Linked DNA regions of Tribolium castaneum. The protein of the gene in region 1 binds, or shares a complex with, the protein of each later gene. Links are inferred from orthologs where the notes say so. Each region holds a gene or a part of one and is shown in the gene's direction. Other genes may lie near its edges.

Region 1 (3,654 bases):
TATGTAACCTAGGACACACTTTAGTCGTAAATAAAAAGATGCACTGCCATCTATCGAGCAAACTTCGAACGCATCTAACCGCTACATTTTGCATAAAACCATTTAATTTTCATTAAAAGTTAAGTAACAAGCTTAAGTTTCAATATACCCAAAAAACCAAAAATTATAAACTTGATCTCTTGAAAAATTATTATTCAAGATGAAATTTATAGTTGAAGTTAAAGTTAGAGTTAAAGAGTTAAAGCGAATGGTTTTCTTAATTTTCTAGTGATTATCGTTTTTATTATACGGATTTTATTGGTTTTAGATTTTTATTTTTTCTTTGGTAAAGACACAACGTCACTGCACTTACTTTCGACTTTACATAATGGAATAATATTGTAAAATTGTATACAACTTTGTCATCATTCTAAAAAAATGCGGAAGTTTAGTGAATTTAAATAAATTCGAATCAAAGGCATTAAAGCCGTCAGACACGATTGAATTAGGAACCGGAATAATTTTACTTGAAAACCTGATAAAAGTGCATTCAAAATCCATAAAATTTTTGACAAAACATCGACCTTTATTTTGTCGAATCAAACAAATTATGTAAAACGTTTCATTTGTACGAGTACAATAATTTTACAAAAAAGGAATCGAGAATGAAATCTCCTATTATTTTAGTAGTATTTAACAGAAAACTAATGTGAAATGATTCAACCAAAGGAACAAGCAAATTTCAACCTGATTCTATTTATTTATCCCATCTAAAATGTTATGGTTTAGTTAATCGCTTAAAAAACAGTTGGTGAGCTACAAGACTGAAAAATGAGATCATGTTTCATAAATGAAATTTTTGAAAAAAAAATTTAGGAACTTTACAAATTTTTTGAAACAACTTACCACGGGAAATTTTAAGTTTAGCTTTATGTAGACAAATAATCGTAATTCAGGTAAACCATCGGAAGACGGTTTAGGGCACGAAAGTCCTCCCAGTCAAGGCATTAGTGCTTCTAGTTCCGAACAACAACATTTATTTTCTTGTGGTCCATCTTCGACTACCGTTACAGTTACGGCCACTATTACGAAAATAACCGATGATGAAGTAAGTAAACAAGTAAAATTATTAGCCAAATTTTATAATAACAACAAAAATTGTAGAGCAATTGGGTTTCATCTCCAAAAGATACGGTATTTCCTGAAACAATTCCTGAAGAAAGTTCCAGCACTGAAGAAGAGCATGTTGTTATTTTTAGACTACCATCTCTGCACGAATCGGATGGATTTATCCGAGATCCATCTATTTATACGGTAATCAAGGTGAAAAAAGAAAATATTAATAGTACAAGTGATTCTAGGCTGAAACTAGTTTATTTCAACTTGCTATGAGAAAAACAACTGGCAGCAAAAACAATGTTAAAAGTGGAGAAGTTTCAACTCCTGTAGGTACAGAAGGCAAACAGAGCAAGCCCGCCATACAAAAAATCGGGTACATGTGTACAGTTAAGAATGTTGTAAAAATGTTGATTAAGGTTTATAAAAACTTCTAGTTCATCAACTGACAAAGATTCAGTTGATAGTAGTAAACACGCGTCGACTGAAGGACCTGGGGGAGATATGGAAGGTTCCCGCAAAACACTTCCTGGTCAAACTGGTGATATAACCTCAGCTACATATCTAGATGTTGCTGTTTTAAGATGTTTGTTTATAACGCATTGGCAAGAGGAAGGAATCTACTGGGCTTTGCACTATTTATACAACAGGTAATACCTTGTGATTAATTAAATTATTTTGAGTTTATAAACCTTCAAAGATTGAGAGATATTAGCGAAGAAACTTCTGCTCAACAACAACCACGTCGTAGAAGCAATTCTCTCCCAATACCGAAAATCGAAGTTTCACTTTATCAAAGCACTGAGCTCAAAAAACAAGAAAACAATAAAGATTTTATCGAAGTTCCCGAAGTTAAAGATGTGTCTCTTTTAGCTGGTACAAACAATATCGTTTCTAATGAAAAAACTGAGAGACGATTTTCTAGAATCCCCTTACACCAATAAAAAATCATTAGATGAACCGGTTCATTTGAGACGAGTTAGTGAAAAAACTAAAAAGCGAATGAAAATGGCAGATCTTAAAGCTTTCGTTGAAACCAAACTTTTATCAAAATCCGACAAAGCTTTGGAAAAGATTGGCCAAGATGAACCGAAACCATTAGGAGAACATGCGGTGGGTGCAAGACGAATGCTTAGTGTATGTATCCTCTCACTATCTTTGTTCTTTCTTCCTCTGTTACTTGTGACACATTGTTGTAAGTTTTGTTCCAAAAATTCGAACGTGAAGCTGATAAACTAATTTGTTTTTTATTTCATACAGGATTATCATCGCAGTTTAGATACAGGTGATGAGCATTTATCAAGACCAAGTTCTGCAATGTCAAAAATGTTTGAACCAATGCCCAGCAATCTGGTTAAAGGGAAAAGCATGCCGAGTTTAAGGTCAGTAATATTTTTTGTATTGATTAGTTAATGATACAGAAAATTTGTTTGTTTAATGCTTTACCGTTGTTAACTGTTCACTAAAACTGATAAATAAATTATCTAACGTATATCCAATTTCACTTCATAGTAGAATTTTTCAACAACGCATTTGAATTTTTTTGAGAGAAATGGAACACAAATTGAGAGTTTCTGGTAGGTTTTCTTAGCCCAAAGTGTATCGCTGAGATTTAGTTTAACATAGAATTTTGTTGTTATACAGAAACTCTCAATTTGTGCTTTATTTTTCTTTCCAAAAAATTTAAATGCGCTGTTGCAATTCTACTATGAACAGAAATGGAATATATTTACTACACCGTAGACTTGCTGAAATTAGTAAAAAAGTTTCCACTGTCTACAAAAGTGTCTCGTGTATAAAGTAGGTCAAAACTTGCTCACGTGATACCTGGAAAAAATTCAGAAACGGCCAAATTAATCAAAATTTTTTTTTCAAGTAGTTTTTTGTAAAAAGTAAGCTAATCTGACTTGATATTAAGTGATTTTTTCTTTATTTACTCATTCTTGATTTTATAAAGGTTTGCAAAGTAAAAATCTAGCGCATTATAAGGAATTGAAGGACACTGCTCTACAAACCAACAAATCGATTTCAAATGTGTTTAATTTTCTGGATTAATTTTTGCAGAATAGTCAACTACACTATTCTTTTTCCAAATAGTAATGTGGCGGGTTTAATACGACAAAATTATTTGAAAAAATAAAACTATTTTGATTCTAGCTTATGTAAAATGATCCGAGTATGATCTATTGGCGTCAATAAAATTACGAAATTTCCAATGGTTTTTTGGCTATGAATTTTTTTGATCTATTTTTGCTTCTTATTGCAATTTTCTCGAAAACTATAAGTCGAAGAACAATGATCTTTTTTTAGAAAGATAGATGATTAAAAGTGCTTTCCAACGATAAGAAAGTTCATAGGGTTATCTTTAATAGCTTCGAAAGTACCCGAAGTACTGGTAATCGGACCGAAAATCGTCAAAAATCTCGCATAAATTGGAAAAATCAAACATCAAAAAATTGAACATATACACTTTTTTGTTTTTTTAGCAACTCGAGAGGCTTGTAAAGGCATAGAAAAGTCCATGTAACTATGCTAGAACAAGTAATTTTTTTTATTTTT
Region 2 (4,381 bases), on another chromosome or scaffold:
GACAACCCACTATTATCACCGCCGGACTTTTCGAATTTTTTCCGAGATCAGACAAAGAAGTCATTAGTGTGACAAAACATAATTGTTTAGTGAGTCACGCTTTCCCAAAGATTCTTTACCCAAGTGCCATTTATAGCAGTGACGATTTTGTTTTCACCTTCATCGTTCTGAGAAAGCACTAGACTTTGGAAAAAACCGGCATAGACGACCATAAAAAATCACCTCCGTATGTGAAGAAAAAAATGTGTACGAGCAACGTTTATTTTTGGATTTTATAAGTCTGGTACCTGAATAGCGATTTAATCTTTTAATCCCGACCCACTTCGGACTATTTTTAAGACCCCATTTTTTAACTGAACCATTATCTGGGTACTCAACACGTAATTAATAATACGTATGAATCACACAAATAAATCACCTTTACACTTTTACTAGTAAATAGTCAGTTTCTTGAACTCTGACTAGTAGATGATTCAATTTTCTATAAAAGTATCTCGAGGTAATTCGTCACGTGTGGGGTTCAACAAATGTGCTAGACAAATAAATAAGGCGGCATGACACGGTTGTTTTATTTTGCCCTAAATCCCACAATTAAACAAGCGAGATAATCCCACTCCCTGGTTTCCTGGTTGTAACAGCGATTAATAATGCAGCGTCTTTTCGTTCAAAAATAAGCGATAGAATGTCTTTCCTCTATTTTTACCACAATTTCGCTGTCACGTTTTATTAAATTTTGTTTTCGAAAAAATCAATCTCAACCTGTAACAAGTTCGATTGGATTAGTCTGGGCCATAAAAGCCGTTTTATGTCCCCATGTGGGAGCCTATAAACAACATGAATCCAAAATAGACTAAATAAATGAAATGGCAACAGTTGTTCTCCAAAAATTAAATGAAAAAAAAAATGATTGTTGATTTGTTTGCAAAAACTGTTGTCAGGTACCCTTGATAATTAAAGGGCGAACCGTAATAATTGACAAGAAATCAATAATTCTTCCGTAAACAGAACAGAAAGTTTCACCTTTTTCGCATTTTGTGCGTTCTGTAAGGCATTTAAATGGGATAAATGGGTCGGATTAGTTAAAAATTGAAGAAACTGCAGCATCCGACAGGGGTGAAAAGGTGTGTAGATGTAAAAATGCGATTTATGATGTGTTGATGTGCTTACCTGTGTCCATGATAATGCGTCTGTCAACAGGATGTCATTATTGATTGTGAGGCTGTGGAGATCAGAAGTGGACCAAACAGGACCAAGTCGCGGGAAACTGGGGAAACTGGATGATGGACGGATCGAAAAGATGAAAGACCCACCCTCGTCTGAAAGTTGCGCACGCTTGCAGCATATCCCTTGATGATTTCAGTGTTTACCGGAGAATTTTGCTTAAAATTTCCCCCTTAACACGTTGTTTTGCGCAAATTTAGTGCTAAAATTCTTATTCTCGATTTAGTGCGAAAAACTGAACAAAATTATTCGTGAATTTATAAATAAATTTTGGTGTAAGTTGCCCGAAAGGCTGACTAGTTGTTTTTCTTTTGATTTTGCACTAATCGTTGTCGAAATTTGTGTGACACCTTTTCTCTTCTTCTATGAAAAATTGTTGTGGTCAATATTTGCTTAACGATGGCAGGTTGTATGAGCTGGACAGCCATGACCGATCACTGGTTTTTGATGTAATTTTTGTTTTCCACTTGAGAACAAGTGGGTCTGTACATTGCAAAGGGGAGGTAGAAGAAGTGTTTTTGGGTTTAGTTCATTTAAATGTTCAGACGAGTAGTTATACGAAGTGCTAGATTGTCTGTGTTGTCGACAGGTTTTGGTTTTAGTTTTAAGTAAATACGTGTTTTAAAGTAGATTGCGAATAGTGCCGGATTCCGGTTAAAGGCGCAACTCTGGAGAGAACCTATTGATGAAGATATATCGATTGGTTGCGAACTAAGGCAGCTGATGTTCAGTGCTTCTGCTCAATTTTAGACTGATGTTCACGACAGATCTATTAAATATGCGCTCTTATATTAATATGCGATGTAAGTGCTAATTGTAAGTAGCAATCGTATTTTTAGCGCGCGCGAGTGTCGGGTGGCAGGATGCTATCGATCTCCTATAGGAGAGGATGCTGGGATTGCTGGGGCCTAGCCACGTGTCTATGTCCCTCTGTTCTTGTAGAATCCTTCAGTTGTCCCTTATTTTCTACCACTATTGATTTGTAATGGGATAACGAAGCTGCCCCCATGTTGAAGATTCCCGCACGTTTTAAACAATGTGACCTCAGTGTTTCCCTTGCGTTTGATTATTGTGACTGCATTGTCAACATGGGTACTCGTGCTGCTGCATGTAAGCAACTTTATACCTTCTATGTCGTTCTTCACACTCTCTTTGTATATATCGATGTGCTCAGTCCTCACCAGTGGCACTGACCAGAACGTGCTACTACATCCACCTATCAAACTTTCCAAAACTTGAATTAACAACTGACACGCTTTCCAAGTCACTTCTACTATTCTTTCTTAAACTTACTAAAAATCACAAGTTCATGTTTTGGAAAGGCTCAGAATTCTAGTCGGTGCCAACAACACGTCCAAACTTTTGCTCAAATCCTTTCATTAGTTACAGCCAAAATACGCAGCTTATATGACTACCAACTGCGGCTTATGCAGGGGGTTATGCCTCCTCCTTCGGGGGTTGACATAGCAAACACTATCAAATACTTCACACAAACACTCCTAAGTAAGTCCGTCATTTCGAAACAACTCGCTCCAAAATCTCTTTTTAGCCGTTCTCAAAGATGTACCCAATTCACCTCTAGATCTTTTGAAAAATCCAGAAATGGATTCAGTACGCATGGGACTTTTTCCGAGCTTAGACTACAAAGGGCTTTACAATTCACTCGTTCCTTTAATCGAAGTTGCGCCACTCATCCAATACGGACTCAATTGTAAGTCCTTGAATTTGCGCCAAGTTAGCAAAAATCGCAATTTCAGCTTTCGGACAAGCCACCCTTCAATGCCTCGGATGTCTTCTACCCTTTTTAGAGCACGACCTGATTGATAATTTGCCTTATTTAACCGCATCCTCGATAGCAGTCCTTCCTAGCAGCCTCCACCAAGACATTGTCAACTCGCTATGTTTCTACATCCTTCCGTTTACGATAAGTAATTATCCAAGTTCCACCACGTTCCAATTTTCACTTGGTGGCCATTCCAGCACGACACAACGACCGAGAGCAAGAAATCTGTCAGTCAGTATCGGCCGTAATCATGATGGTGTTCCAGTATTCAACAAACCCCGCTCATCACTGTCAACTCCTCGAATGTCTGATGACACTCAAGAAGAACATTCTGAAGGACATTCTGAGCGTGATCGCCTACGGTACGTCAACAGCACGATCCTCAGCAGCCAAGCTTTTATTTTATTACTGGCCTACGTTCAACGCGAATTTATTTGACCGGAAAAACCTCATTTGCAAGTTCGCAGGTAAACCCGAAAAAATGTCACAAAGTCGTTGCAGAAATGTCGTTTGCGCAGATCCTACACCTTTCGTTTGCAAACGAGACATGTGTCCAAACGCCGGAAACGCTGAAGCCGCCAAAGTGTGTTACGATCATTGTATTTCAATCACTTTCGCTAGTGATACTCCGCCGCCCCTTTACTTGTGTATTGAGTGCGCTAACGAGATCCACAGGGAGCACCCCAATCAAATGTTTTTCGATATTCTACACCCGATGCAACAAGTGTCTATGGTTTGCGAAAATAAAGTAAGTCCCAACTGACGTTAGATAAATCCTAAGCGAGGAGTTGTAGAATTGTCGATCGACTGATAAGTCGGCAATTTCGATCTGTTTTTCGACCGAGTGCGCGAGTTACAACGGCAATCACCCGATTAGATATTGCGAGCAGTGTCACAACAATCGACACAACAACAGAAGGGGAGGAGATCACATCGTCCACAAAAGCTTGCCACCGACTTGGAGCATGGATGCAGAAATGCAGACCTACATGGTGGAAGCTATTGTGAGGTACTGTGAGTTCCGAACTGGTGGCGAAAATGTTACTTTGGTTGTTCTAGTTTGCTGAAAGAAGCAAAAATCCCCACGGTTGAGACAAAGGAGAACGTGGAGGGTAAAGCTCCGATCCCTGCTGTTGACAATATAACAGTAGAGGAGCGACAGCTTTTAGGTAGATACGGTGTTTGGTTGTTGGTGGGGAGATGTACCCCAACAGACAATACACCAAATGAAGTATTAGGGCGGCTTTTAGCAATGCTTTTCCATTGGTTTCATATGACTGCATATTCATATGATGGTAAAGCAACTTACTTTCAAAGTCTGTGTAACTATTATCTTGCGTTTTGTACAGGCCAGGAAGAAAGTACCTTAGAGAAATT

The links.
Region 2: the proteins of unc80 (region 1) and unc79 are in contact, whole or in part, in a cryo-EM structure (PDB 7W7G), measured with the Mus musculus proteins. The link is inferred for Tribolium castaneum from reciprocal best matches to the Homo sapiens genes UNC80 and UNC79. Residues at the interface, in NP_780719.2 of Mus musculus: Gln23, Thr24, Trp27, Ser31, Leu34, Arg35, Pro36, Ala80, Pro83, His84, His87, Ser94, Asn95, Asn180, Ala183, Leu187, Phe190, Leu191, Arg337, Leu340, Gln341, Pro342, His343, Arg1317, Asp1320, Glu1321, Asp1324, His1545, Val1546, Asp1547; in XP_030102533.1 of Mus musculus: Thr120, Tyr123, Ser127, Ala130, Thr131, Leu168, Ser169, Ser172, Met175, Ile176, Gln179, Tyr180, Tyr207, Tyr211, Gly212, Pro213, Ser214, Val390, Cys391, Glu394, Glu402, Phe405, Arg472, Cys541, Asp917, Phe920, Ser965, Glu966, Phe967, Ser968.

The regions. Positions count from the first base shown.
Region 1 is NC_087397.1:22,897,204-22,900,857, forward strand, and holds part of unc80 (protein unc-80 homolog), read left to right. Parts: intron 1-935; coding exon 936-1,087; intron 1,088-1,143; coding exon 1,144-1,293; intron 1,294-1,340; coding exon 1,341-1,471; exon of another isoform or gene 1,472-1,484; intron 1,485-1,514; coding exon 1,515-1,745; intron 1,746-1,795; coding exon 1,796-1,971; intron 1,972-2,020; coding exon 2,021-2,232; intron 2,233-2,355; coding exon 2,356-2,477; intron 2,478-3,654. UniProt on the Homo sapiens protein: Auxiliary subunit of the NALCN sodium channel complex, a voltage-gated ion channel responsible for the resting Na(+) permeability that controls neuronal excitability.
Region 2 is NC_087403.1:5,611,580-5,615,960, forward strand, and holds the start of unc79 (protein unc-79 homolog), read left to right. Parts: upstream 1-1,536; 5' UTR 1,537-2,228; coding exon 2,229-2,331; intron 2,332-2,604; coding exon 2,605-2,724; intron 2,725-2,770; coding exon 2,771-2,932; intron 2,933-2,978; coding exon 2,979-3,149; intron 3,150-3,201; coding exon 3,202-3,752; intron 3,753-3,798; coding exon 3,799-4,013; intron 4,014-4,063; coding exon 4,064-4,381. Other genes in the region: uncharacterized protein LOC662811, read right to left, coding at 1,168-1,177. UniProt on the Homo sapiens protein: Auxiliary subunit of the NALCN sodium channel complex, a voltage-gated ion channel responsible for the resting Na(+) permeability that controls neuronal excitability.